Linked DNA regions of Lepisosteus oculatus. The protein of the gene in region 2 interacts with the protein of the main gene of each other region in a biochemical or structural test. Links are inferred from orthologs where the notes say so. Each region holds a gene or a part of one and is shown on either strand. Other genes may lie near its edges.

Region 1 (3,754 bases), on a different chromosome or scaffold from region 2:
CCACAGTTTCACCCTGCCTTTACTGGGTGTAATTTATGCTGTGAAAGCACCATGATGACGGGGTACACCTCCCAGAAAAATGTAGCCTGCCTTCAGGGCCACAAATCACTGTCCGGAGCAAGTCCAGAGTGAAAACAAATCTCCGCTGCACTGCTGACACCACATCAAGTCTTAGTTACAGCCCTGGTACTGGAGAATCGCAGGCTTTGAGGTAATATAGGAAATTTCAAATCTCCAGCAGCTCATGATCGGGAGTCAGATTGAAACAAGAGCCAAGGCGCACAGGAGGAAATTAAGAATTAGGACATTCATCCACTGCAGAGAAAGAGTTTAGAGTAATTTGAGTTTAGAGCTAAATTCAGCTAATGATGTCTGTAATTAATTCACTTAAAAACTGCTGACTTTTAATTTTTGTATGCATTGGTATACTATCATACCACTTGACTGTATTCACGTGAGCCCACAAGCCGTCTTAATTATGTCTCTCAACGATCACCAGAAGAGCTGGGAACATCTATTCAATAGGTGACATTGCGCGAAGATTTAACTTCAGAATTAAGACCTCAGGCTCTGCAGCTCTCCTAATCTGAGTTGTAGACGCACGCCTTGCAATCCCCTTCACTAACCTAAAAAAATAGGACATATTAAAAAGGTAAGGACATGTGCAGAAAGCACGCCGAAATTTCATCAGCCTGACGGTGTATTAACAGCATATATATTCACTGAAAACAACGTGGTCAATTCATTGAATTGACAGTGTGGCATTTTTGGTTGTTCATATTAAATAAGATTTAATTTCCTTATCAAAGTCACCAGTATCATTATTATTATTATTTTTGTTTTTTAAGTGTTGTTAATAGCATAATGGCGTTTCACGTGGGGAGAAGTTCTGGAAGACTATCGCTGACAGTTCAGTAATGCATAAGCCCCGACTGCTCTCAAAGAGACAGGGAGAGGGAGGGCGAGTGAGAGAGGAACAGAGGGAGGGAGACGTCGAGGGGAGGAGATTCATTCAGGCTACAAGTTGAGAGGTAGTGAGAAGCAATTAGTGCCATGCATGTAACTGCACTGAGGAAATACTGATCGTCAAGACAAGTAAGCCAAGGAAGACCCTGCGCTTCGAGCATTAAGAGTACTTAAGGTGTGGATCCTGCCCAACGCAACGGTTCCATTTTGTATTGAAAGGACTGTGTGTTTGCATCCTTTGGATGAGCAATGATAGACCGGATTTTTTTTTTTTAGTATTTTAGTACTTCATTAGCGTAGCTAATTATGTTTGATTAATATTTTGGTTTACTAAAATTGATTGGCTTTGGGGAATGCCACACAAGGACGAGCTGTGCTGGTTTCTGCACGACCTATTATTCTGACTTTCCTGTAAGGTTACTGCAGCTATTTTTGAAGTTGCCAAAATTGTAATTTCGTGTCCTCCTGTGCAAACGGACGTCTACAACACGACACTGTTGCTAAAGCACACGTGTAGCGCTTGTGGAAGTTCTCTTTTCCTTCCAGTCTGAACGTCTCCAGGTTAACTCTGCCTGTTCAGAGGGACGTGACGATGCGCTCATTCCCTTACCGCAGCTTCACTGAGGAGGGATCCAGTAAAAACTGACTTACTGTAGCTTCTGTGCCAGTTTTTTTTTCCTCTCATTTCTTCTATTCATTTGTACGCCTGTTCCTTGCGTTATTGTATGTCAGTCTTGCGTTTCTGGAGGTGGATTTCATGCGGATCGATCGAATTCAGCGCTGGAAAATTGGATGAGAAACTCGAAATGAAAAATTTTACCCGCATCATCCAGATAATAACTGTTCTCCTCATTCAGTTATCACCTGCTCAGGTAAGCTGGTATTTTAAGATTCTTATTAATTTTGCCGTGATTTGGCCGCTGATACAGGTTGTGTATTAACTATTCCCATAGTACGTACTCTCTCTTTCAATGTCTGTCCAGAAGCATTTCTTTCTGGCGTGGAAAATGATAGCTGGAGCTAGTGACAGACCGCTTCCAGACCGGGTTAACTCGTGACTGCAGGGAGAAGCAACTTTAAAATTACTGGGTCTAGCACTGCGTGGAATAAGCAATTATTGTTTAAAATCGCACCAAATCCCGAAGTTACAGTATATGAAGAAAATCCCCCACAGGTAATTGACTCCAAATATTCTTGCTGGTGCAGTAAACGGTGGTGGCATCGACGTTGGTGAAGGTGGCGGTACGTTTAATAACGTACCGGTGATATACTTAGAGATAATTTAAAGTTCCCTCCTGGTTCATACCTCATACTCCGCAGAATCTCTGAGGTAGACCGTTGCTATTTGTAAAGAGTTCTGCTCCTTACAGTCTCATATTGAGCTTGTGCCAGGAGGTTGAGTCATCAAGACGAACGTGACTTATGGCATAGCGCTCATTTCCATTGTAGCCAGCATTTCTTTCTTTTTAGACGTACTGTATACTGTATCTCACCCGTGATTCGCTGTTGCGCTTCGACCCTAACCGCTCCCCCACCCACCCCATCAACCCACGCAGGCATACTGTACGCACCACTCCCTGTTTTAAGAAAGGAAGCTACAGCCTTGTATTAAATATTTTACATTGACAGCTGCCGCTTTTAAGTTTTATAAGGACTGCTACTGTAAGTTACAGTTTTACTTTGGTCTTCAGTGCAGTCTGTGGAGTGAATGAGGTAACTGCGGTAGGCTCTGGCTGTGTTTATACTGAGTCAAAGGTCTCAGGGAAACCCTAGCTAGGATTCCTGCACAATATGGCTGCCTGGCTGATGTTTCTTAAGTTTTCCTGTGACGGTCTGAAAATAATATTCTTCACCAAGACCATGGAGAAAAAAAAAAGAGAGAAAGTCACCTTTTCTGTGCAGTTGCACCGAGTGGATTTAGTTCTGACGGGGAAAAAAATGAAAGGTGGTGTTTGTTTGTTTGTAATTTGGGAACTGGACCCAAACAAAAACACCAAACTCTTTGAATTGTAACCCAATCGATGTTTCATGCGCACTTTCCTAACCTGGGACGTGCTACAGAGCCACGCACTGTGTAATGTTACCTCAGTGGCAGCTTTTGTGGCTGTGGAGGAGCCCCAATCAATGGGGGAGACGCCAGCCATTGAAAGTGGCATCAGGAGGAACGGGCCCACGACACCCCTCCCACCTTCCATGCGCCGCGAGCCACACAAAAGTAACAGTGTTAATTGTGTAGGCTGAAAGGCAAAGGAGCTCTGCTGGGTTATTCAGCTCCAAAGGCTGTGGAAGAGGAGCGGGGAATGGGGGTTAAATTCGCATCTGAGTGAGTGAGTGAGTGAGTCCTCATCGAGGCACCCTTCTGTCGGAATTCCTGGTATCCCCACCCTGGCGCGACAGAGCTGTAACCTTCCTGGACAGGCTGGTGTCTCTGGTCGGGTTTCTGGGTCATTGTGATCTCGTCGGGAGTGGGGAGCTGCTTCTGTAGCTATATCCAACCTCAGGGGTATTGACTGTGGGAGAGGAGGACAAAGCAGTCCTCTGTGCCCGGGCTCCAACGCTGTCAGTGTGAAGCCTTACCTTACCTTCTGCGCGTCTCCCAGGCAGGGGGAGTGACTCCCCTCATTCACGTCTGGTGCCACCCAGCAATGACACTTGCAAGGAAGTGCCACCAGCCCTGGCATCGAGGCATACCCCGTCTGTTAGACTAAAGACCCATTCAGCTATATTTCTCGCTGGGCAAACAAGCAGCTACACACTAGCTGCGTGAGTATCTCATGTATAATGCAAG
Region 2 (3,754 bases):
TGGAAACCAATTGCCATAAACCTGTTTTAATATTAAATTTTAAAAGAACAAAATATGTCAGAGAAATGACGGTACTTTTTTTCTGGGAATTACTCCAGCCTGAAGTAAATGAATGCAAATACTCTTGTAAACCACAAATACACTCCTTATTTGATTTTGGACAGCAGTTCCCATAATGAATCACGTCCCACTGACAATCATAGGCATCCCACAGAGACATTCCCGATAACTGATGCTATGCAGTTTCTTAAAATAGATGCACAGGGGCTCGGAGGATCTGGTGGTGAGAGATGACCAGTGCTGTGCACAAGGTCTTCAGCCCACAGACATGTGTCCACTGGTGTGGCAGATTAGGATCAGTGGATGTGCTTGGGTCTGTGGGCAGAGGACATTCCTGTGTGCCGCCTGACTGCTCTGTGGATGCCTGTCTCAAACCAAACGCTGCAGCAGTATCGAAATTCAATTCCTCTCCCTTCATGTCCCGTCCAGCGCCTCACTCCGTAGACACACAAGGGCAGACTTCTCCGGTCCTGCTAAATTTCTTTTAGCCGGCTCTTAAGAGACTGTCTTAAGAGGCGTCTAAGACAGAAACGACCGCAAAAGCAGCGGTTTAGAGGTGACACAGGGTTTTCGGGCGCAGCTGGAGGCCAGAACTGCTCGGCTTCATCGCCACCCGCGCAAGGCCACCCGGGCGAGGCACGGCTCGAAACACGCACACTGCAAGCTGCGGCGCTTCACACGAGGGTCCAGGTTTTCGAGCCCCCAGAAGCTAAACTCGTTGGGGCTCTCTCGCGCGTGCGTGGGCGTGAGTGCGAGTGGGGACTAGAAGCGGGGGGGGGTCGTGCCAGTTATCTGGCCCGCTCTGCGCCCGGAGCCGCCCTGGAAGTGGCACCCTCCTCGGCGTGGCGAGAGAGACCCGCAGGTCAGCGCGTCGCCTGGAAGAGGGGGGACTGCGGGAAACGGGCCGGTGGGTGTTGCCGCTCATCTCACGTCACGGAAGCGTGGTTGTGAAGTGGTGGGGACGGAGAAAAAGTTATAAATCTCAACCCCGAGGGGAGTGGGAAAGGGATGACTGAAGCCCCTTTAAGCGAGGCGCGCTCGGACTGGATGCTCACCATCACACTCAGGACTCAAGCTACTGTAGGAATCCTGCTGTTATTCCCGTTTCTTGCTCTCTGAACGCCGGGATGTCAGTGTGCTAATCCATCGCGTTGTTAACTCTGGACCGTCACTGGGGCAGCTGTAAAAAAGGGAATTGTGCTCTCCGAACCTTCTTTGCCGAAAGGAAAGGCATTCAAGAAACGCGATGATGTATCTTGTGTTGATAGTACTTTGCGGACTCTCTGGAAGCGCACTATCAAAGGGTGAGTTTTGATTTATTACGAACTTGCTGTGTGTAAGTAGTGCAAGTTAGACAGAAACCAATTTCTCGTCGTTTAATAAAGATCCATGCAGGCAGCGCTCAGTTCGTTTGAACAACCTACTAAAAAAATCGTTTTAAGCAGCTCTTCATTAAGCAAATACATTTCGTTTTGAGCAGAAAAATTGAATTGAGTTTGGGTTGTCGTTTTCAACGGCTTTTAATTTCTGTTTTCCTTTAAAACACACAAGAAAGCGAAGTGTATCATCATCATCACCGACCTGGGCTGGGTACTACACAGACAAATACTACAGGAACTACACTGATTTTTTTAAAAATAATAATTGTTATATTTTAACAAAGTGTAATTCTAAAATGAATCTAATAATACATATTACATCAGTTACGATTTAACTCACGATTTTTTAAAGAAGATTATACTAAGGTGAAAAATTAAAGCTGTCCGCGATTCTTTTAATGATATACCAGTGAACATCAAGGTCTGGAGTTGCCTTTTCAGTGCGGCAGATAATTCTGATATACGGACTTTACAGATCACGTCTGCAGGTGCGCAACCATCCCAGTTAATCCGGCCGCCCCGCGTTGAAGAGCTCAAATAACGGGGATTTTTAACCATCCTTGTTTTCGGCTCTGGTTAAATCAGAGAAGGGCGGCGTTTCCTTTGCCTGATAAATTAGTTGAATGGAAGGGCTAATGCAAATTACAAAAGGTCATGACCACTAGAAGGAAACTTTCCAATTTACAGGAACTCGGACTAATCAACATATATTACTAAAACAGGCACGCAGGAGTGAACTGGAGTACCACCGAATGATACGTGCTGTGTTAGTTAGTCTTTGTCAGTGTTGACTTGCTAGTAAATACGTGGTTGACTCATGAGCAGGTTCTTCGATTCTGTACTCACCAGTACATTGTTTGCTACCGACAAATGATGTTTGGGAACAGAAACATTTTGCCTGCTGCTTCTTCTCCTTGTTGAAATACAGCGTATATAGCCAAGTCGTCTTAAAGTTGTTCGTTGAATTCGTTTAAATAGATTCGAAGAAAATTACATGAATTATTGACACCCGCTGAATGCTATTATATGGTTGACCGAAAACATAATTTTAACTTGCTGCTTATTTGTAAAGCTTAATAAGCGATGGGAAAAAATGAAAATGAAATGGGAAAAAATGTATTAAAATAGTCTTGTTAATTCCGTGGTTATTGATAAGGAAAACGTAGAAAGCATTGAAAAATTGACAGATTTTAACACAAACCGTTATTGGGTTCAAATTGAACACCGACGCATCTTTTCGATAGGTTCTCAATAAAACATTTTCCATAAGTAGTATTTTAAGTCTTGTATTTTATACCTAGATGAACGCAAATATGTGCTTTCGATACAAGCTGGGTGTTAACAAACAACGAGCTTAAAACGAACACGCGTCAGTTGAAGAACATTCAACACAACGGTTGAAAAGTATCGGAAGCAGAAAAACAAAACTCAAAGGTCGTGAAGATGTTAAGTAAACGAATTACATAAAAAGTGTATTTTTTCCTGACGCGTTCTGATGTGATTATCACTTCACAGTGGGTGTGCTCTGTGGGATTTTAAGGGTTGGCTGGACCTCTTCTGCGTGGGAGATGCTGAGAAACACCAGCAACTGGCTTTTTCTGTGTAAATTCCGGAGATACTGTAAATTCATGTGGTAAAAATGTACGCCGGTTGTACAGCATCGCTGATGCGTTGCTCCAACGTCCGTTCATAGCCTTTCAATCCGGTGGAGACATTTTGCCCTGTCTGTCGATCTTCAGATCACTGAAAGTGTGATTTCATTTATTGCGAGAGCAACCGAAGAGTGTGTTGGTCATTCAAATGATATTCAGCTTAAAGTTCAGAGCAGAAAAAATAAATAAAATTAAAACAGACCCACTCTCCCGTTCAACAAGCGGTCTTGGGTCTTCTTTAGGATCTGTGCCCTATGGCTAGCATCACAGGAGTGAGTCTTTTCCCTTCACATTGCGGCACGGTGATAACCCTACTGCTCGAAACCCAGACCAAAAGATCACTTTATACCTCAGGGATTCGGCCAGCAGGACGCCAAGTTCCACGCAATACAGATAAACCTAAACTGAAGGGAAAAATATATAAAAAAAAAACAACAAACCGCTTCCCACCCTTTTGCCCTCTCCTCCCAAAATTCAAGCCGCTCACCGCGATTCGTGAAAATGCCTTTCCACCTGTTCGGTTTCGAGAAGAATGGCGAACAGCCGGGAGGGAAGACTAATGAGGCTTGAAATCTATGCGGCCCGCAGTATTCAGCGGTGTGATTGATCAGCCTGGTGTGCGGGTTCGAGAAGGTCAGGGCTTTCTGTGCGTGAGTGATCAGG

What was found. The genes of interacting proteins can lie anywhere in the genome.
Region 1: the proteins of flt1 (region 2) and pgfb are reported together in a solved structure, tested with the Homo sapiens proteins (2 studies listed by BioGRID and IntAct, with this or other methods). The link is inferred for Lepisosteus oculatus from reciprocal best matches to the Homo sapiens genes FLT1 and PGF.

The regions. Positions count from the first base shown.
Region 1 is NC_090703.1:9,819,082-9,822,835, reverse strand, and holds the start of pgfb (placenta growth factor), read left to right. Parts: upstream 1-1,029; 5' UTR 1,030-1,691; coding exon 1,692-1,838; intron 1,839-3,754. UniProt on the Homo sapiens protein: Growth factor active in angiogenesis and endothelial cell growth, stimulating their proliferation and migration. It binds to the receptor FLT1/VEGFR-1. Isoform PlGF-2 binds NRP1/neuropilin-1 and NRP2/neuropilin-2 in a heparin-dependent manner.
Region 2 is NC_090700.1:5,799,908-5,803,661, reverse strand, and holds the start of flt1 (vascular endothelial growth factor receptor 1), read left to right. Parts: upstream 1-897; 5' UTR 898-1,306; coding exon 1,307-1,364; intron 1,365-3,754. UniProt on the Homo sapiens protein: Tyrosine-protein kinase that acts as a cell-surface receptor for VEGFA, VEGFB and PGF, and plays an essential role in the development of embryonic vasculature, the regulation of angiogenesis, cell survival, cell migration, macrophage function, chemotaxis, and cancer cell invasion.